2 linked regions of the Saccharomyces cerevisiae S288C genome follow. The protein of the gene in region 2 interacts with the protein of the main gene of each other region in a pairwise test. Each region holds a gene or a part of one and is shown on either strand. Other genes may lie near its edges.

The links.
Region 1: the proteins of YIL001W (region 2) and CUL3 interact in binary tests that used the Saccharomyces cerevisiae proteins (3 or more experiments, as listed by UniProt).

What each region holds. Positions count from the first base shown.
Region 1 is NC_001139.9:498,517-503,194, reverse strand, and holds CUL3 (cullin CUL3), read right to left. Parts: upstream 3,064-4,678; coding exon 829-3,063; downstream 1-828. Other genes in the region: PEX31 (peroxisome biogenesis protein), read right to left, coding at 1-257; SWC4 (Swc4p), read left to right, coding at 3,289-4,678. UniProt on the Saccharomyces cerevisiae protein: As part of the CRL3 E3 ubiquitin ligase complex; polyubiquitylates monoubiquitylated RNA polymerase II subunit RPO21 to trigger its proteolysis; plays a role in global genomic repair.
Region 2 is NC_001141.2:352,225-356,208, reverse strand, and holds YIL001W (uncharacterized protein), read right to left. Parts: upstream 2,270-3,984; coding exon 728-2,269; downstream 1-727. Other genes in the region: SGN1 (Sgn1p), read left to right, coding at 1-66; phosphoinositide 5-phosphatase INP51, read left to right, coding at 2,778-3,984.

The sequences.
Region 1 (4,678 bases), on a different chromosome or scaffold from region 2:
CAAGTGATGATACTTAGAAAGTTATCCACAACAATTAAATATGGGTATAACCTCACTAATGACCTGGAGACTGTTTTAGGTGTTGAAGTCAATAAAGGAGATGATAAAATAGCCTCTTGATCTTCCTCATAAGTTTGGGCGCTTAATTTACCTCTTCGTTTTCTTAAAGCGCTACGAATGTGTTTATTCTTGCTTTCTGTAGACTCAGCTACTGTACTTGAGGTTGGCTCTAGATTTTCATTATTTATTTCGCTCATACTATCAAATAAAGGGAAACCAAGGCTTGACAACCAGGGAAGAATACCAAATTTAAAAGTGCCGCTTTATTGATAATAATTTTGGTGAGCTTCTCTTATACCGTAAATTTCAACATATATTTTTCTACCAGGAAAAGTGAAATACGGCCGCTAAGCATCTGAAAAAAAAAAAAGAGCAAGGCGCTGCTATTGATAATAGTTCCTTTGAAGCAGTGCTACGCAGGTCTGAAAGGCTCGTAACTTTAACTTACTTAATGATTAAGAAAGAAATTATTTGACTCAACAAATTCCTAGAAGTTTTTTATAAAAATATAATGAGGCATAATAAACTTCAAGAGATATCGATTACCCACTCCACATTACATTCAAGTTTGACTGGGATATATAGTCTACCATAACTATGTTATTATATATTTTGAAAGTTTCACTAAGGAATGCAGGATGAACATTCAATTAGTATCGACGCATATCCTCTTAATATTGTTCGCTCTGGCAGCCGGATAGGAACTGCCATCTATATATACTGTTGGCATTCTGCAAACCTTATACCTGTGATTTTCATTATAAGCAATTAGGAAAGGTAATGGTAATAAGAGGGGTCATCTGCGTTTCTCTGGATGTATTCTTTCTCTATTAAAAGCTGAATGCTTCGTTTCAAAATGCTCGGTGTAAGACTGAGCCGAGACTGTGTCCGTTTCGTAGTTCTTTCAAGTAATTGCTGATGGCTTAGCTTACCTTCTGTTTTCATGATACGAACAATAATAGCACTAAGCTCCATAACAATTTCATTATCATAAGTGTCCACGGAACTTGCGGTTGCCAAATTATCTGATTTCTGAGATGGTAGAGGGCATGCAATAACCGGCACTTTCACTTTCCTGTTTGGAGAAGAAAAGAAATAATTAACTGAAAATTTCATATTTCCTGAACTGGATGATTTTTTCAAAATCTTACATCTGGGTATTGTCGACATTGACATTACAAGAGACTTAACGTCATCTATGGGAATATGAGTTAGTTCATATATTTCCCCCAACGTTAATTCTTCATAATCTTCAAATAGAAGGAAAATCACTCCAGCGTAAACAGAAAAACTTATTTCGTAGTAACCGCTATTAAATTGGCAGCCAATTTCAATTACACTTAGATGATGAGCCCACTTTAGCACTCTTTCTTTGTATTTTAAGCTGTAATAGCCCTCAAAGCCAGCTAAAATTTGTGACATTCTAGGAGGTAGTGAAATACCTTCATCAATTGGATTAGTACTCTGAAAGGGCCAGCTCGTTCTCGTCAAAACTTGTGGTGCAAAACTCAAATATTCTATGCTGTTGATTGTTGAGTGTTGGAATGCTTGATACATTTCAGAGGATAAAGATATATCTCGCAGCATTATCTCCAATTTTGAGGTAAAAAAAGTTCCTAGAACCTTCTTTATCATTTGCACCATCCATTTTTCAATTTCCACTAAAGACCTCTGCTGCAGTAATCTTCTGGAGAGTTGTTTTTTGTAAATCTTTTCAAATATATCCTTCTCAGTTAGGAGTCCGATTAATTTGGTACTATCAAGCAAATCTTGCTTGATCTTCACTATTTCAGCATCTTTTTCCTTGGTTCGTTTCATACAATGGTCCACGTAGGTAGAAAGATACTCAGATGGTAATGCTCCTTCTTTAGAGAAATACATTGAGAAAACATCGCCAAGTATTGCATTAGATACATCCCCGGTCAAATTATTAAGACGAACAGAACCAAAATCAATACTTTCCAAAAACGAGTGTTGACTGCGATATAGCTCTACAATTTCCGAAGACCAAGTAATCGCATTCTGCCCTTTTTTGCGGTTACCTTCATTAAAAGGAATATTTATGGCATTTTTATTGATGTAAGATTTAATAGATTCAATGACAGTAACGCGATATTTTTCCTCGCTTGACAAGTCATAAATTTCTTGGAGTAGCTTTCCATTTGAAATTACCATTGCTTCGTGCGTTAGATCTTCAATAATATCACTCAACTTTCCCCATATAAGGACATTTTCTAATACAGTCTTCAACTTATTATGAGAATCCACATTTAGAAAAGAGGAGTCTAGCATACTTTCAAACTGCCTTAACTTCCTAATCTTTTCCAGGCTCTCAATTGGCGTTAATAATTCAATATCAATAGCTTTATTGTAGTATTCTTCTGTCGCGCTAATCAAAACCGGCTCAAAATCGGTTAAGAAAAAACTATCTCTATTGTCATGTAATGTCTCCATCATTCCTATTAGTACTTTCCACAAACTAGTATGTTCGGAGTCGACAGATCCTAAATTACGAATCCTTTCTATATCAGATATCAGTGCTGAGATGAGAGAAGATGAGCATTTTTGCAATATTTCGATTCGGAAAAGATCGAGGCACATGTCGTATACCTCCATGCATCTATTTGGTTTGCAATAAACTTTGTCCATATACATCATTAAGTCTCCCGTTATTTTAAAACAATGGCATTGCACCTCCCATAACCGTGCCATAGTTCCAAGAAACTCATAATCATGAGTATTGTCCTTGACTATCGTTTCCCTCAAAAGCGCTAATTTTTGGATTAAATAATCTTTCAATCTGTTATAAAGTATTGGCCCCTTTTTATTTAAAACGATAGTATAAATGGTCTTGTACACTTGTTCGAAGGAAAGGTCGGCCATGTCATCGCTGTATATATGATCAATGGCATATTTAACTGTTTCCCAGGATTCCTCAAAAGATTCTTCTGACAAACCGAGTTTTTCTGGGACACTTATCTTTATTTTCTTATTAGTTATCATATAGTAGCCCTAATTTCAGATTTGAGTTAGCCCGTTTAGAGTATACTTTATATGAATCAGATTAGAATACGCACACTCGAACTTATTTAATGAAGTTGCGATGCGCCAACTCCGGGTAGCTATTTAGTGATAAATCAAGAATCCACTTTGTATTTTAATAGCAACAAGCATTCATAACATATTTCTCCGATAATACGAAAATTTAGTAAAAAAACCACAGGTAATATGTCATCATCAGACATCTTTGATGTACTAAACATTAAGCAAAAATCCAGAAGTCCAACTAATGGCCAGGTATCAGTGCCTTCGTCCTCGGCAGCCAACCGGCCCAAGCCTCAAGTGACGGGCATGCAAAGAGAACTATTTAACCTGCTAGGAGAGAACCAACCCCCCGTTGTTATTAAGTCTGGAAATAACTTTAAAGAAAAAATGCTTTCGACGTCCAAGCCATCTCCTTGGTCATTTGTAGAGTTCAAAGCTAATAACTCTGTGACTCTGCGTCATTGGGTCAAGGGTTCCAAAGAATTAATAGGAGACACACCAAAAGAATCGCCATATTCTAAGTTCAATCAGCATTTATCTATTCCATCATTCACCAAGGAGGAGTACGAGGCTTTTATGAATGAAAACGAAGGAACTCAAAAAAGCGTAGAAAGTGAAAAAAACCATAACGAAAACTTTACTAATGAAAAGAAGGATGAAAGTAAAAATAGCTGGTCTTTTGAAGAAATAGAATACCTGTTCAATCTCTGCAAAAAATACGATTTACGTTGGTTCCTGATCTTTGACAGATACAGTTATAATAATTCAAGAACACTTGAAGATCTCAAAGAAAAATTTTATTACACCTGTAGGAATTATTTTAAAGCAAGTGATCCTAGCAATCCGCTTTTATCTTCTTTGAATTTTTCAGCTGAAAAGGAGATAGAGAGAAAAAAGTATTTACAGCGTCTTCTTTCTCGTTCTGCAGCAGAAATTGCTGAAGAAGAGGCACTCGTAGTAGAGTCCAAAAAATTTGAAATGGCTGCCAAGAGAACACTTGCAGAAAGAGAATCATTACTCCGACTGTTGGACTCGCCACATTCAGATCAGACAATTACACAATACCTTACCTCTCAGGGAATGTCTCAGTTATATAACGCGCTTCTAGCAGATAAAACTAGAAAGCGGAAGCACGATTTGAACATCCCTGAAAATCCTTGGATGAAGCAGCAACAGCAGTTTGCCCAACATAGGCAACTTCAACAACTGAATGTAAAAAAGTCAGAAGTCAAGGAAAATCTCTCCCCCAAGAAAACCAAAAGACAAAGACAGGAAATGCAAACGGCGCTCAAAAGAAAGTCAGAAAGCGCATATGCAGAACAATTGCTGAAAGATTTCAATTCAGATGAAAGGAAGGCTTTAGGTGTGATTACGCATGGTGAGAAGCTATCGCCGGGTGTATACTTAAGATCTACAAAATTATCGACCTTCAAACCTGCGCTGCAGAACAAAATTCTCGCCATTCTTCAAGAATTATCGTTACCTTCTCGCCCTGTGATGCCCTCATTTGATGTAATGGAAAGACAAGAGGAGCTTTTGAAAAAAATCAATACGCTTATCGATTTAAAAAAAC
Region 2 (3,984 bases):
CAAAAACCTGTTGTCATGCCGTCTGACAACGTTAAAAGTTCTACCCAAGAAAAAGATTCGAAATAAACACAAGGCTTTCATGTGTATACTTAATAATAATTAAGTGAGCTGCTGCTTTGAATAAGTTGAAGGACAACTGGTGTTATCTCGCTTGTCTATCCAAACCTTCAAGAATAGGGTAAATGCAAAAGCAAATATAAAATGCCACAACTACAATCAAAAAAAGAAATGTCATCGCTTGTTACAATATTTTCATTCCTTTATTCAAGGATTTTTTTTTTTAATTTTTCGTTAAAAAATATTGATCACTTTATAGGGAATATTATGTACCTGGCTACAGCTGAAGCTTGCCTCTGTATGTAAAGTATCTAAAATATATCAATTTTTTTTTTTGGATAACACCTGTTTTCATTACCCTGTATCTCGTATTCGTGAAAATAACTATTCTGAAGTAATAATTATAAAAAACATTTCGGAAAACAAAACCATTAATAATTTGTTTTTAATTTTAAATATCAATATTATAATAATTTATAATATTATAAAAATTTAATTAAAAATATAAAAATTTTCACGTGAATCATATGTATATATATTTTTTACAGAAAAAGTATCATACTTCTTATTATAATTGTCATTATATTTTTTAAGAGTGCGCAGCAGTCATTGGCAATATTCATCCGTTCGCAGTGACGCGTAAAAATACATAAGGTTATTGAATGCGGAATTATACATCAAGTTCCAGATCAGCTAGGATATTATCTAACATACCCATATCTTTTCTGTACTCCAAATACCCTACTTGTTTTAGGTATTCTAAATCGTCTTGGTTTTCGAACAGCTCCACATCATCCGGTTCAAAAGAATATTTTCGGAGCAAATAGTACCTAATGTCATCCACTAGTTCAATAGTATCAGTTTCCTGGCGGAGAGAAATTCGTTGTGAACTCAACATAATTGCCCTTTTAATCTCTGGATCTTTATATAACTCTTGCAAATGTATAGCTATAAATTTAGCTGCAAATTGTTCTAAGCGTTCCACTCCTATTTCCCATGATAAATAGAGTACGTCAAAAACATTGTATTGCTGAATAAACTCTTTTGATTGTGTTATAATTGTAGAAGCGATAGTTTTTAAGCGGTCTTCTAAAAGTATATCGGCAAGTAACAAAACATCGACGGCATACATCCAAGGAATGTCTGTATTATCTGCATATAAGTAGCGGAGAATAATTTCGGCAACCTCAAACTCACAATTGGGTAATGTCAGCTGTGGAATGATACTATTATACTTTCCTGTAACGTGCTTGGCTTTGATATATGTAACTTTCTCCTTGAAGTTGTTTGTGAACATCACCTTGAAATATTCTGCGCGGCTCAAAACAGCCAGGTGACAAGGGTATATTCGAATGGCTCCATTTCGGTTTTTTACCATAAGTTGAACATCCGGATAAGCTGGACAGTTCATCAAGGAAAAAACTCGTCGTTCACTATTAGCAAGATCAACAGTAGATCTAAAGATACAATTGTTCACAAATATTAAAAGTTGACTTCTTGCAACCTCGGTAAACTTATATTGGTAATCTGACATTAACCTCGACTTTTCCGTAGGATCGGCGGTATGCCTTGCTTTGTCTAAAAATTCGGGCAATAACTCAATATCAAATTTACTAGATAGCTCTATAAGTTCTTCATATTGTCCCGGTTCAATTTGGTGCAGGATCGGAATTAAGTAAAGAAATTTCAAAAATATGTCAAATATATCTGGGCGCACTTCAAGAGAAACAATTTCATGCTTTGCCCACTCATTCACCATTTTTTCTGCTAGAATTTCGCTCCTTGCACATAATAAGAACTTATGCGCTGTGAACAGTTTTCCATTCGAAACTCTGAATGTGATATCTCTTTTAAGGAAGCCTTCGTCATTATACATCGATGAGATATGAGTAGCAAAGGGTTGCTTGACATCTACAGCCTTGGATATATCATAACTTAAAAGGGTATCTCTGATAGTATCGGTCAATGCTCCATAAATACATCGAGCTCCTTCATATCTGTCTCTATCACAGACGGCTCCTCTCTGTAGAAGAAGTTTCACGACTGCTTCATGCCCGCAAAGGCTAGCCAGAAAAAGTGGCGAATTGTCAAACTTGTCAACACTATTCACATTTACTCCCGTGGAAATCAATCTATCAACATTGTCCATATCACCAGTGCGGCATGAATAGCACAGTTCTTCAAAATTTTTGTCCATTAATTTATCTGCCATAAATATGCCAAAGGTCGTTTTCAAGTGGTAGTGTACAATTTATGACAAATCTTTCCTGTAGTTTTTTTTTTCTTGTATTTTTGTTTATTGTCAATATGACCATAGAGAATAGTAAGTAAATTGAGTGTCCACATCTACGTAGTCCACGTATTATTATTTTACTTAAAAGGGATGGGTGTTTTAGGAATTCAGAATAAGCGATACCGTTTCTAAATTCTCAATTTAGAAGGTTAGGCAGGAATTGAGTTTCAATATAACCTGTTAATGTCCCTTTTTTTTTATCTTCTATTCTTGACGTCGTTTTATCTCCTTCAGGGTTTCCTGTTTTCCTTCTTGTTTAGCATTGCCTAATTGCTAAACGAATCCCTTTGTTAAACATTTGTAAACCGGAAAGTTGGAACAAATATCTACACAAATCAAATAGCCTTTCTATTTCATTCTAGGATTAAGTCAGCAAATATTGATAAAGTTGTGTTAATCGTATGAATTCGAAGCACATTTCACTACAATGAGACTCTTCATCGGTAGAAGATCACGGTCGATTGTAATATCTTCCAACAACTACTGTTTATCCTTCCAGCGTTTGCGCAGCATACCAGGTGCCAGTTCTCAGCAGCGTCAATTAAGTAAAACTCCTAGCGTAACAATCAAGTCCTACCCTGACACAGATCTTTCAAGTGATAGTAACTATCTCGAAGTCAAAAGTTGCATATTTAATGGATTATTAGGGCTCGTTTGTCTTAATGGTGATATATATGTTGCCGTCATATCTGGTGTTCAGAATGTTGGGTTTCCTCGATGGAAACTGATAGATCATCAAGTTAGGCCTTCGGAGAGCATTTATAAAGTATTGGATGTTGACTTTTACAGCTTAGAAAATGATGTTTTCGACTACCTCCTCTGCGAGAGATCAGAGCAAAACTATGATAAATTGATTCATGAGCATCCTTGCGGCCCCCTGAAAAAACTGTTTAGTGATGGAACATTCTACTATTCTAGAGATTTCGACATCTCTAATATCGTGAAAAACCATGGTTTATCACATAACTTAGAATATACCGTAGATAATCAAGATTTATCATTTATTTGGAATGCTAACTTAGCAAGTGAGGTAATCAACTGGAGAAGCAAGATTTCAAATGAGGAGAAACAACTTTTTGCCAACGCAGGGTTCTTAACATTTGTAATTCGGGGTTATTGCAAGACAGCATTAATAGAAGACGGCCCAAATACAGCCTCTATAACCATTATTTCCAGAATTTCGACTGAGAGCAAGCAGGATACGCTAGAATTGGAGGGTATTAGTGAAGATGGGAGAGTGTCGCTATTTGTTGAGACAGAAATTGTAGTAACCACAGAAAAGTTTATTTTTTCTTATACTCAAGTGAACGGAAGCATTCCTCTTTTTTGGGAATCTGTAGAAAGTCAACTGTTGTATGGAAAAAAAATTAAGGTAACAAAAGATTCTATTGAAGCTCAGGGAGCTTTTGACAGGCATTTTGATAATTTAACCTCAAAGTATGGTGTTGTGAGTATCGTTAATATCATAAAACCTAAAAGCGAATCACAAGAAAAGTTAGCACTGACGTACAAGGATTGTGCTGAATCAAAGGGAATAAAAATAACAAATATAGAATACAGCTCAAGCGTTCTGACAAAGTCTCCCCACAAATTACTTTATTTATTAAAACAGGATATTTACGAGTTTGGAGCGT